Neurospora crassa OR74A: one gene and its partner. The protein of the gene in region 1 binds, or shares a complex with, the protein of each later gene. Links are inferred from orthologs where the notes say so. Each region holds a gene or a part of one and is shown on either strand. Other genes may lie near its edges.

Region 1 (7,816 bases):
TTCTCTACTACCCGGTCTACTTCCTCGAAGGCTGCGTCGCCCTCACCATTGGCTTCTACATGCTGTCCCTCATCCTGCCCCGAGCAGCCTTCGTGGCCCGTTCGCTCGCCAGCTACCTCTCGCTGCTCCTCTGCGCCGGTTTCGGCGTCATCACCTCCATTGCCTTCTCCTTGCTCGGTCACGGCCAGAGCGCGCAATGGGCCGTCGGCCGCTCCTTCAAGTACGTCATGGCGCTGACCACGGGCGTCCGGTTCAAGATCGACGACCCTAAGAACATCCTCGGCAAAACCCGTCCCGCCGTCTTCATTGGCAACCACCAGACCGAGCTCGACGTGCTCATGCTGGGCTGCATGTTCCCCAAGTACTGCTCCGTTACGGCCAAGAGCTCGCTGCGCAAGACCCCATTCCTCGGCTGGTTCATGTCCCTCTCGGGTTCCATCTTCATCGATCGCGCTAGCAAGACCGACGCGCGCGCCGCTATGGCCGGCGCCGCCAACCAGATCCAGAAGAAGCAGCAGAGCGTCTACATGTTCCCCGAGGGAACCAGGAGCTACTCCAAGGAGCCCGAGCTGCTACCATTCAAGAAGGGCGCTTTCCACTTGGCTGTCCAGGCTCAGGTTCCCATTGTGCCAGTTGTCGTTGCCAACTATAGCCACGTCCTTAACGTGAAGGACTTCGTCTTCAACGCCGGAGTCATTCCTATGAAGGGTATATATAACCCCTACCTTTCCCCCCTCTCTCCCTTCCTTCATTTTCCTTCACTTCCTTCTTGTGCTATCAAAATACTAACCATTTCACCTCACTCACAGTCCTCGACCCCATCGACACCACCGGCCTCACCACCGCCGACGTCGACGAGCTCTGCAAGAACACGCGCGACCTCATGCTTAAGGAACTCATCGCCCTTACCGCCAAGGCCCGCGGCCAGTCCGTCTCCGACATTCCCGTTGCTAACAAGTACCCGAGCGTGGCCAAGGCGTCCGGAACCGATATGCAGGTCGCCGCCTAAACGCATAATTTTATACAATTCGGCTGAGAAACAGCAGCTCCGTCGATCCAGAAATGCCAGGTGGAACTCTGCCCGTTTTGCTGCGCAGCAGCCCAGGACAGCGTGAAATCCCATCAGCCAGTCAGCCCCGCGACGAGGATGGACTGAACTGGGATTGAGATTAGTACTTTTTACCCCCCTAAGAAGAGGGTGGGATGAGGAAGAAGACGAGGAAGCAGCCGATTTTCAGCACAGAAATAGGAAAATAGAGGAGAGAGGTAGAGCCGAGAATTGCATATCTCAGCGGCATGATGGCTCGGAACTACCCTTTGAGTTTACGTGCAGGAGGAAGACAAGGAGGGGATGAAGACTGCGCAAGAAGGAATGAAATCAAGAATATTATGCGACAAAGACAGAGCTACTAGAACTAGACTAGCACATCTTTCTATATAGGATGGGATACCCAGTTACCAGGTCACGTACTTGGGGGTTGTGATGCGGTTTGGGGGTTGGGCCATCTCCCTAACCTTTGAAATCAAAGGGGGTTGACAAAAGGCGCCACTCAAGCCGCCTGACAACCCCCTTCTCGACTTCTGTTTCGTGGTTGGATTGCTGGATCTGTGGGATCGGGTTCGTTGGCCGGCGGACGACCTGAGAAGAAGTGGAAGAGGGTTGGTGGCAAAAGGTGATAAGCCAATGGGAAATACGAAAAGGAAGTGAATAGAGAATATGATACCCATGTACTTAAGTGCATTGCGTTGCGTTGCGGCACACGAACATTCAGCTCGAGGATCCGCGCCTGGCTTTCAACCGCTACAGTACCGTGAGAAGATAATTATGTACACAACAACATGTAAAAGTCTAACCAGCCTGCCAGATTTCAAGTTGTAATAACCAGACAGACTGTCCAAACTATAATGAGATTTTGTCTTTCGCTGTCAAAGCCGCTCCATCACTTTTTAAGGAGACCACACACCCCACCTTAACCTTACCAACCGACCCATACACCCATTCTTAATGATGTTGAAAAGAAAGTTTACAAAATATGAAGAACGACTAAGCGAATAAAGCGAAAGAAAGCCAAATTTAGTTTTCAGGCTCCGTATCCGTGTTAGTGTCGCTCGTGTCATCGTCCTCATCATCATCTGTCCCACTTTCCTCATCCGAGTCTTCCTCGTCCTTGACAACCCTCTGCTTTGTCGGCGCACCCTTTGCTGCGTTCATGATGCCGGCAATAGAATCTGTAGCGATTGTGGTCAGCTTTCTGTTATGCGAATGTGGTGGATGGTGGGAAAAGGGAGGAAAAAACTCACCCTCCTCAGGCTCGCTAATCTCCTCCTCATCCTTCATCTCGGCCGCCCGGCTCGCGTCCTCCACCACGAGCGTCACCTCCATCTTGGTGTCGAACCCGACATAGCTGTCGCACACCACGTGCATGACAAACGTGTAATGGCCGGCCTGTGGCGGCGCCTGGAACTGCGCCTTCATGGTTTGCATGGCGAACGTCGGCGTCTTGCCGTCCGACTCGTAAATGGGCCTGTCAAAGCTGACAAAGGTGAAAGGCGGCACGGCCACGCGTCCCTGCTTGGAATCCGTAAGGAAGACGTGCCATCTGGGGCTGTGGTCGCGGGCAAAGTAAGGGGAGGAAGCAAGCGGTGGGTAAACGTCCTCGCTTTCGGCGGACTCCTCGTAGATGGGCTTGCCCTTTTCGTCCTTGCCGACGACCTTCTTGGTCTTCTTGCGGCCGAGGATGGCGTCAAGATCGTCTTCGGCGGGGTCAATGTCCTCGAGATCAATGGGGGTGACGTCAGGTACCTTCTCGCTACCGGGAGGAACGAAGCGGCCCTTGACAACGAGGGTGACGAGGGAAGAGGGAATGATGAACTTCTCGCCAGTGACCTTGAAGAAAGCCTTGGCGACACGGAGGTAGGGGAGCTGCTTGGCATAGGCGATGGTTTCCTTGTACTGAGCATCGGTCAAGAGGCCCTTTCCAACAACAAGGCTGCGGCGCTTAGCATCAGGCTGGTCCATGAAGGCCTGGACAGTGGTGTGGACACGGGAGTCGCCCTCGACAGCCCGAACAACGGCCGAATTGAAGTGTGGAAGCTGGTACAGAGGAGAAGCCTTGGGCGGGATGGCCTGGATGAGGCGCTGGCTGGCAAAGTAGGAGGCGAGGAGTGGAGCAGTGTTCATGTAGGCGAGGGCGATGGCATTGAAAGACTTGTTCAGAGCATGGGCAATAGGAGCGACCTGGAACTTGGCCTTCTCAAGAGTAGCATCACCAAGCTCAATGCGCCCAAGGTAAGCCCAGAGAAGAGCGAGAGCCTTTCTCCGGGGGCCGTTCTCAACGTCCTCGAGCTTCTTCTTCTCTTTGGGTGGAAGTTCGTCGGAAGCCATAACCTTGGACTCGATCTTGGAGAGGCCGGCATCTGCCTTGTCGCCTTTGAACAGGTCTTCAAATTCCTGGCCACTGCTGAGAGCCGCCACTACACCACCCTCGTCAATGTTGTCCTGATACTCCTTGAACAAACGGTTGGCGCTCTCCATAAGAACACCCTCCTTGGAGCGTCGAAGTGTGCCGTACCACCAGGAGCCGACCAGATAGGGGAGGAGGACACCAAACAGGGCGAAGTAGATCAGAACAATGTACTTGCCATTGCCATCGGAGACAATGGCCTTGGGAAGGGCGATGTTGATGCTGAAACCTTGCTTTCCATCGGGGTTGCCGAACTGGATAAAGTTGTTGCGCACGTCCTCATCCGTCAGAGCCTGGTATGCCTTGGAGATCTCAACGTAGCGGCGGTTCAGATCGTCAATGGTCTCGTTCTTGGAGGCGTCGGGGCGGGCCTTGTCGGGATGGAACTTGAGGGAGAGCATCTTGTACGTCTTCTTGATTTGCTTCTCGGTGGCGCTCTCGGCGATGCCCAGGATGTCATAGGGGTTCCAGAGGTGTTGTACCGGGGCGTCGGTGGTCTTGATGAGGTAGATCATGTAGCCCATGACAGCCCACCCGGCGATGACGAGGGCGATTAGCCATGGCTTGCTACCGTCCTTGCGCTTCTCCGACTTGCGTAATGTGTCGACTACCGCCGACTGGTCGTGCTTGTAGTCCGTCTGGATGCGCTTAAGAGCGGCAGCTGGGTCGTTCCGCGACGATTTTATTAGCGAGTACGTGATGGGTACGGTGACGATGGACGTAAGGGTAAACACGAAGAAGGGCCAGAGGTGGCCCTCCTCGTCGTAGGCGTAATCAGTACTCATGGTGAGTACCTATCGTGGCGAGAAGCTGCTGGCGTCCGAAGTAGACGGCGGTCAGGCTGCAATTCCCAAGAAAAGATGTCGAGGACAAGTTGCAGCTAGGGACTGGAGAGGCCGAGCAGGGCGCTTTTGTTGGAGCTGCCGCGGGGATCCTCTGCTCTGTCTAGGCCAGCGTAGTCTAGTAGTTAATATTGGACTGTGGGAGAAAGGAGTGGAAGTTGTTTCCAGATTGTTGCTGGAGATGGCTGGGAACAAAAGGTAAGGTGGTGCGACCGTGTCAAGTGAGGTGTGGCGGCTTCCACAGGGTTCGTCGGTTTGGACCGATGGATACTGGTCGGATTGGTGATGGGGGATGTTGTCAAGTTGTCTTTCTGCGGATGGCGGATTGGCAGGTGCGGATCGGGGACTCTGGCACCGAAGATGAATCGTGGCCTCCAAATTTCAGACAGGGGGCCCAAGCTCCCCGCTAACACCGCTACGTACACCCACATGCCTCCCTCCGTACCTGCCCCTTCGGCTCGTACTGCCAGTACTTACTGCCACGGTTCCTTGTCCTTCATTCTGACCCCAGAACGGACACGCGAGATCTTGGTGGCTTTGTGAACCAATCCCGGCATTGAGCTTGCCTCCTGTTGTGGTGAGCTTGTGTCGTCTTTGATCTGAACAGATCTATCTCTCTGTCTGTTTCTTTTTTCTCTCCCTGGATGCAGTATTCGCCCCAGATTTGATGAGAGACCTTCCAAGTAGATAATAACTACCCAGCTGTCCGCTCTTATCACCAAATTGACATTTATGACCCAAGTCACCTAATCTGGCAAGATGTACATGTACTATGGTAAGAAAGATGGCAACTATAGAAAAGAGATATCAAATTGAAGCAAACCACAAGCTAGGAACGGTAATCTGTATTCAAACCTTATTCAAAATCTGAAGATAATGTCTAGATCCTTGAGTTAGGATTCAGAGGCGCCACACCACACGTTGTCCGCTCACCCTTAATTACAAACTAGCAACACAGTGCAACCAGTGTTGTTCATCGACCGGCTGCCACGAACGTTTGTTCAGGTCTTTCCGAATGCCGGCATCGCTGACTCAATGAATACTGCGCGACAGGAATAATCGCTGTATGTGCCATATTTACTCGCTGCCAGTTCAAAGCTCTATCCTGAATATATGGTGTCTAAGTATTCTTCTGCTTCGTCTTCAAGCATACTCAAAGAACCAAACCATGATAAGCAGCCCCATTTCACCAGACTTTTATATGAGTTGTCAGTCTATGTGCAATCCGATATGTAAAAAGGAAAATCGGTTACATCCTCAATCCAGAAACCTAGACACATAACGCCACTGACTTCCATCTCACAGTGCCGGATAAGGATAACCATATGGGCGTGTGCATGACTGCGACAACTCATAGCCCAACAACGGCCTGGAAATATGGTCGAGACGATAACAAGACAATGGTGGAAGACGAAGGATGCGCGTGGCGCAACTTTTCCGGGGAAAGGGTATGTGAGGTTATGAACCAATGAAACAAGTCTATGCCTTGACCAATTTGTAAAAGAAAACACCCGTCTTTTTTTTTCTGCTCCATCGCTTCTTACACGCTCAGGCATCTTTCCTGAAATTTGGCATGAGCCAAGGGGTTGCATACCCCAGACGCGGTCTCAGTCACTCTCTGACTGAGATACCAGAAGTACGCTAGCCGCGTCTGACGGCAGCCATGAACTTTTTGAAGAGACTTAGGCATGCATACCACACAAGGAGCAGAACCAAGAGATGGGGAGGCAAAAGCACAACGGCAGCGACCAGCCAGATACCCCATGATCTGAGCCATGCCACTCGGCTATCCATGTCGTTGCCTGCTTTTCCTTTTCCCCAAGCTCTGTGGGTCCGTCCGTGCTCATCGTGATGCTCGGTAGCGTCGTCTTCGGACAGATACCCGTCATTATCATCGTCAAAGTCGCCCTCGTACTCGTTATCATCTTCGTGGGTTTGTCACTGGTAGTGGAAGCCGCCGCCGCCAAAACCTCCCCTGCCGCGGGAGCGACCGCCTCCAGGGAAGCCGCCACCGCCGAAGCCGCCGAAACCACCACCACCGAAGCCATGACCACCCTGGCCACCCATCATCTGGATAATGATCTCAGGGTCAATACCACCCATGCCACCGCCCATGCCACCGCCAAACATATCAGACGGGTCCACTAGGTCGTCACCACTATCGTACCTAGCGCGCTTTCTATTCGGGGTGTTAGCAAACTCGTCAACTAGGAGGGGCAGGGGAGGGACTTACTGAGAGTCACTAAGCGTCTCATAAGCTTCGCTGATATCCTTGAATCTGGCTTCGGCGGAGGCATCGCCGGGATTCTTGTCGGGATGGTGGACGATGGCGAGCTTACGGTACGCCTTCTTAATCTGGGTCTCATCCGCATTCTTGTCGATCCCAAGGATCTTGTAGTAGTCTTTCCTCTGCGACTTCTTGAGCTCAAGCTCGGCTCGCTTGACTTCCTGAGCAATGGTCCTGTCTTCAGGCTCGAGCTCCTGCAGTGCCTTCCACTCCCTAACACAGTCCTCCCACCTCTCGGCCAAGCCAAGCGCGTTGGCCTTGGTCTTGCGGGCCTTGAGGTAAGAAGGGTCGAGGCTGATGGCTCTTTCGCAGTCGGCGATGGCCTCGTCAAACTGCTTCAGCTTGGTGTAGCACAAGGCGCGGTTCTGTAGAATCTTGGAGTTGGTGCCCTTGTTTGACGGGTCAATCTCCAACGCCGCAGTGTATTTTTCCAGGGCCTTCTGCCAACGGCCAGCCTTGTATTCATCGTTGCCCTCTCCCTTCATACGGTCCAACTTCTGAACGACACGCAACCACTTGATGGCATCCTTGAAGTCGGGATCGCAGCTGAGCGCCTTGCGGAAATGCTGAATTGCCTTGTCGTTCTCACCTGAAGCATAAAGCGCACGGCCACGGATCACGAGAGCCTCGGGGTCCTGGCTATTGCTCCTGAGGAGCGACATTGCAATATTTTGAGCCTCACCAAGAGAGTTGATATCGCCCAACCTGAGGAGAGCCTCGCCACGCATCAGAACCCACTTTCTGGGCCGGCTAGCACCGATACCCAGGAGCCTTTCGGCCATATCGAGGGGGTGCAGAACCATGGAAGCGGCCGTGCCCTCCTGGAGAGCCTTCTGGGCGGCCTGGATATAGTTTAACATGTCCCTAGCGGGAGCCATATCCTTTGCCGAAGGGGGCGGTTGGATGCGGCCGAAAGTGGCGATGGCCTCTTCGGGTCTGCCAAGGCTGGTGTAGATACGGGCCAGACGCAACAGAATCTTGGGGTTGTTCGGGTCAAGCTCCGCTGCGCGAGTGCAGTCCTCAAGAGCATCCTTATACTTGCCGGCGGACATGTAGGCTGCCGCACGGTTTCCTAGATATGTTGCGGATTCGGGCTGCAAGACGATGGCTGTATTGTTTATGCCCAAGTTAGTTTCTGCCTCAATTTTTTTTTTTTTTTAATCCTCGAACCTGGCCGCCTTCTTACCCTTGGTATAATGCACAATCGCTTGGTTATAATCCTT
Region 2 (5,061 bases), on another chromosome or scaffold:
TGGCGGATCTATGGTCTGCGTACTACGCGCTTGTGGGCGAGGACTCGGAGGATGGTGGACTGGGCGAGAGAGAGGCGCTGGTGCAGTTCTATCACGGCTTGGCAGAGTTGAGGCTGATGGGCTTTGTCAAGAGCAGCAAGAAGAAAGCGGATCATGTTGCCAAGGTTAAGTGGTTGCTGTAATCGGCTCGGGATAGGTGTGTGTACTGTGTGTATGTGAGTGTGAGTGTGTGTGGCTGGGAAGCGGATGGAGGGAAAGAGGAGAAAGGGGAAGAACCGAGCCGAGAGCATCAGGGCAACTTTCCGTTCGCGTTCTTTGTTCGTTTCGAATGTCCCATCCTTGGATGTGGATGGAATGGGAAGCTATGTTTGGCATTTTGAGTGGCCACATGGGGAAAATGCATTGTTACTGTCATGGGCATTCATTCCATTCACATCGTTTTCGACAAGACCTCCATACAAGGCCGAACAATGTATTCGATTGGCATAATCCCGTTACCCTCTCGAATCCAGATAAAAGAGACAAAGCCCCCCCTAACAAAAGGGGGGGAAGACAAAGAAAAGACCATGACGGCATCCCAACGTTCGGTATAGCTGCCTACCTGTGCTGTTTCTGGAAATCGCCAGCGGCTTTTCTCTGCCACCAAAGACATAAAACACATGCTTTCGTGCGCAATGTCTACCATACAACAGTGACGGCGGTCATCTTCGCTAGGCTATTTGATCATTTCCGGTCTGCTTATTTGAATCGTGAACTGCTTCTGCTTCGTTTCGTTTCGTTGATGTATCCAAAAGGTCGTCGTCGGTTTATTTTTCAGCAGGTCATTCCCTAGCCCTTCCTTTTCAGGAACTTCCATTGTGGGAGGGTACGGAATAGTTTCAAAGAAATCATACAACTATTCATTCTACTCTGCCGCAACAACGGGTGCACGAACCGAACCGACAAAAGAAACGAGAAAAAAAAAGCCTTCACTTTACTTCAGTTATCATATGTTCCTCAATACCTACCAACCCATTTACTCATTACAAATTCCCTCGTCGGGTTTCTCGCAAACAGGTTCACTTATAATCGGATCACAGTCATACCCATCGCAAACAAGCGCTGACGTTGAGCAGACCAATTGATCACGAGCTGGTCATTCACCGGAAACTTGTCGTCTCGTTCATCCTCTTCAGGTCTTGCTTGTCACTGTATAAAAACCTTCGGGTTCCTCCCCTTGAACCACCGAGCAAGGGCTACCAAAGTAGGAACGGCGAGTCTGTGGGCAATCAGGCCAGGTTTGGTATTGCGATTCTCCCCTTATAGCCAGAAACGCGATCATTCTTCAGGGGAAAAAAAGAGACAGCAAGCACAATGTCCAACCATGGGCAACACCCAGGTCAACAACCCAACCCTCGGGGTCATCATCGCCGTCCGCCTCCCACACCATCAGGAGCAGCGTCACAGCCACCACATCCCCCTCGACCCCGTTCTCACCAATTACAAAACCCAGCAACCCTCACAACCCGCCGCTCCCTCCTCTCCCCAACCTTCGCCTCCAAACTCCGCCAACTCGCCCTCCCCCTCGCCCCCCTCGTGCAGCTAACCAGTGGCACCGTGCACCCCGAATTTCCCCAGACGTTGCTCAACTTCTGGCTTTTGACCGACGACCAGCTGGACCGACTAGCGAGCTTCTATCACCAGCGCACGCCATGCCAGTGGACGGCGCACTACCCTTGTCCGGTGTCATGGCCGGCAGGCATGGGGATCGAGGAGAAGAGGAGGAGGATTGGACGGTTTATCGGGCTGAGGGGCTGTGAGAGTCCGTTGCCGACGGGGACAAGTTTAGGTTTAGACGTGGACATGCGGCAGATGAGTACGGGGGGAAAGAAGGGGGATGTGCAGGTAGATGATGCCGCTATGGAAAACGAAGGAAATGGAATGTCGACGTACATATCAGCGCTGCTGAAGTCGACGATAGGGATGACGGACGAGGATATCGCAGAGACGGAGAGGAGGGTCAGGGGAGCACAGGATGAGTTGGATGAGATCAGGAGGAAGATGGGTTGGTATCTTTAGGTTGACAGTGATTGTTGCAATGGGTAGAGGTAGGGATAGCAAGACGGGCAAGATTTAAAGTTTCCGAAGAATTCGCTTGCAAAAGGTCTACCTAGATGGCCAGGCAGGTTAACTAGAGGTACTGAACGAGCGCTGGTGCTCGGCAACATCGGTACATACCTACAGCGTAGAACAGCGCCATATCCCAAATTCAAACTATCCAAGCTGAGGCCTGATTCGCTTTCATTCGTATATTGACCAATGTAGGTATTGAAGTCTACGTAAGAATCCCAAACCCAAGGGCGCTGTGGGCTGTACTATATCTCGACCAAGACCCGTAAACGACCTGAAGAGGCTCCCCCAAAAAAGTATACCCTTGAATATTTTGCTGCAGGTCCCAACCCATAAACGCCATGGAAGAATGCAATTGCTTGCCCAACACAACCCCACACTGCCCTGCCCTCCCATACCTCTCTTCTTATTGTACAGCCACCCCGGAGATCTCTATGCGAGATGCTCACGTCACTCTCATGCACCGCTCGCTAGGACGTGACCTCTAGTTCTTGCCCTTCTTGTTCGACGGCGATGAGGTGACTGAGCTGGTGTCCACAGGGGTACCAGTACCAGCCTCATCCCCTTCCAGTTCCTTCATGAACTCGCTTCTAACGGTGGCCCTGCGCTTCTCCCACCACTCCTTTTCTTGTGTTGCCTGAGCCTGGATCTCGTCAAGGCGCTCGCGCAGCACAGTGTTGGCAGCAATCTCGTTGGCGGTTTGGAAGATGCTCTGTCCCCAGTTGGGAGCGAGTGCGTTGGCCTGAAGAATCGGGCATTAGCATTTCTGGCATCCAATCATCCGCACGGGTAACCCTCTTCAAAGGAACACACACCTCCATAACAACATCACGAAGCTCTTCCTCCATTTCCTTCTCGGCACGCTGGAACCTTTGCCACAGATCATCGCCGATGCTTCCACGCTGCAAAAGAGAGCTGCAGGCGGCCTTGGCGGCGCGGATCTGGATAATACGGTGGATGTCTTCGACAGCGCGGCGCAGCAGAGCCGCCCGGAGCACACTTTCAGGAACTTTAGGTGCCTTTTCGGATCCGTTCTCGGGCTCCATGTGGAGGAGTGACAGGTAGACGTTGCGTTGGAGGTGAGGACCGAACCATGGTGCGAGGTTTGCGCTTTGCTCTGGAAGAATCAACATGGTTAGGCTTCTATCCAGAGAAGCATAGAAATTTCTGAGTAGGGGGTTGCATACGGGCTTTCCTCTTGCGGTAGATTGTGGAAAAGGTCATGAAGGTGCCCGTCAGGACAATCAGATAGGCGAAGGGGAGCACAAGCCCCCGCCAGTCGACGCTGAACATGTTTCGGGATGGAGTGTGTGTCAAATTGACGGACGAGAAATGATGTCTGTATTCTCTACTCTGGAAGAAAGCGAGCGACTAGAGTGAACCAAGAGGCGGTAGGTGGCGTGAGGATTGTCGTCGTGCAACTGAAGGTTGCCCGGTGATGGATGCGTTTGCCTTTTGCGGTTGTGTGAGTGATGGACACCGACGGCAATGTAATCGTGCTTCCCTTGGTTATCAAATGCAGTGCCCATGCCTGGAAAGAACACCTTGACAACTGCAACGGTGCAGCGCGGCAGGGGGAGCTTGACAATGGAATTTCGGCCCTTGGCGCGCGCTGGCTTCATCTGAGTGGCAGGGGCCCATGCCGCAAGTGGAAATCGATGCCTGCCGCGACAGCCCCTTTCTGTCACTCCCAAGTCTTTGAGGGGTGCGGGGCATTGCCGGGCCGGCATTGGGCTCTCTCTCTGACGTGGGACCGGGAGTTTCTTGGCTCTTCTGGAAACCCAGCAGGCATGCCTCGATTGCTCAGCACTTCCCAGCACGCCCCAGCACTCCCGCCGCCCAGGCACACGTATGACGAACGCCTGAAACTATCGTACAGCGTTGCGTGGAGCTCCCCGCCCTTCGATCAGGTCCCGTCTGCCGACCAACAATTCACCACCCGTATCCCGTCACCAGTTGTGCCTTTACCCCGAGTCCGAGGACCTGGCGTGACCTTGTAGATTTTGCGCAACAAGAAGCTTTATTCATAGATACCGCCCTACTTCCGACGCCTACGACACATTTTAAATTCAGATTCCGGATTATACTCGCCGAACGACAGGAACAGACCAGATCCGTCGGACCCTTTAACAGCCCAGACGTCACCTTTTTTTCAGCCCGCCCACGATGTTGTTGAGGGTACGCGGTCCCGATGGCATGCTCCGCCTGACATTGGAGAAAGATGACACCTTTGCGGATCTTGGCCGTCAACTCATTCCCAAGCTTCCCCCGACTGTTGACCCGAAAACAATTACATTCTCGAACCATCCGACCGGCAGCGACGCCAAGAATCTCAGCGAGGTCGCAAAGTTCAAGGTCGGCCAGACTGGGCTCAGGCAAGCTGACCCCTTGGAACTCTCGCGCTGATCTTGCGATTTATGTGCCAGACACTAACTAGCGACCTGAAAATAGCCATGGCGATCTTATTTTTGTCACCTACAAGCACAACGATGCGGCGACCGACGGCCCAGGCAACGGCGAAGCCACCAAATCCAGCGTGCTTTCATCCACGAACCGCCTCAACGGCAAACCGATCCTACCTGCAGAAGACTTGCCCATCGACCCGCCTCCGCTGACATCTCCGCATGAACATATCAAGAACCCGTGGGAAACGGTGAGGCAGTCGCCTCTGGACGATCGGCTAGACAAGCGTGACGGAAAGATCCCAAGGGGGCGCGATCATAAGATGTGTCGCCACGGGCCCAAGGGTATGTGCGATTACTGCATGCCCCTTGATCCGTTTAACGCAAAGTATCTCGAGGAAAAGAAAATCAAGTACATGTCAGTACACGCATACCTCCGCAAAATCAACTCTGCGACAAACAAGCCCGAGCTTGGGGCTTCGTTTATCCCCCCGCTTGTCGAACCCTATTACAGAGTCAAGCGGGACTGTCCATCCGGCCATCCTCAATG

What was found. The genes of interacting proteins can lie anywhere in the genome.
Region 2: the proteins of NCU00169 (region 1) and NCU02681 are in contact, whole or in part, in a cryo-EM structure (PDB 6N3Q), measured with the Saccharomyces cerevisiae proteins. The link is inferred for Neurospora crassa OR74A from reciprocal best matches to the Saccharomyces cerevisiae genes SEC63 and SEC66. Residues at the interface, in NP_014897.1 of Saccharomyces cerevisiae: Gln247, Thr250, Lys251, Lys252, Asn256, Ala259, Ser260, Val263, Val267, Asn268, Tyr269, Lys270, Pro271, Ser272, Glu273, Ile274, Thr276, Ile339, Gly342, Phe343, Arg344, Leu365, Pro367, Thr528; in NP_009730.3 of Saccharomyces cerevisiae: Asn69, Lys109, Leu113, Gln116, Ile117, Leu120, Asn123, Gly124, Ser125, Ile126, Gly127, Glu128, Asp129, Tyr130, Arg133, Arg178, Arg179, Ser182, Arg186, Val189, Glu193, Trp194.

The regions. Positions count from the first base shown.
Region 1 is NC_026503.1:2,871,459-2,879,274, forward strand, and holds NCU00169 (translocation complex component), read right to left. Parts: upstream 4,652-7,816; 5' UTR 4,250-4,651; coding exon 2,302-4,249; intron 2,230-2,301; coding exon 2,075-2,229; 3' UTR 1,722-2,074; downstream 1-1,721. Other genes in the region: NCU00168 (1-acylglycerol-3-phosphate O-acyltransferase), read left to right, coding at 1-708, 810-1,009; NCU00170 (DNAJ domain-containing protein), read right to left, coding at 6,245-6,485, 6,540-7,701, 7,780-7,816. UniProt on the Saccharomyces cerevisiae protein: Acts as a component of the Sec62/63 complex which is involved in SRP-independent post-translational translocation across the endoplasmic reticulum (ER) and functions together with the Sec61 complex and KAR2 in a channel-forming translocon complex.
Region 2 is NC_026501.1:3,181,218-3,186,278, reverse strand, and holds NCU02681 (translocation protein), read right to left. Parts: upstream 3,681-5,061; 5' UTR 3,403-3,680; coding exon 3,297-3,402; intron 3,227-3,296; coding exon 2,925-3,226; intron 2,852-2,924; coding exon 2,594-2,851; 3' UTR 2,265-2,593; downstream 1-2,264. Other genes in the region: NCU02683 (hypothetical protein), read left to right, coding at 1-182; NCU02682 (hypothetical protein), read left to right, coding at 1,354-2,058; NCU02680 (nuclear protein localization protein 4), read left to right, coding at 4,276-4,484, 4,561-5,061. UniProt on the Saccharomyces cerevisiae protein: Acts as a component of the Sec62/63 complex which is involved in SRP-independent post-translational translocation across the endoplasmic reticulum (ER) and functions together with the Sec61 complex and KAR2 in a channel-forming translocon complex.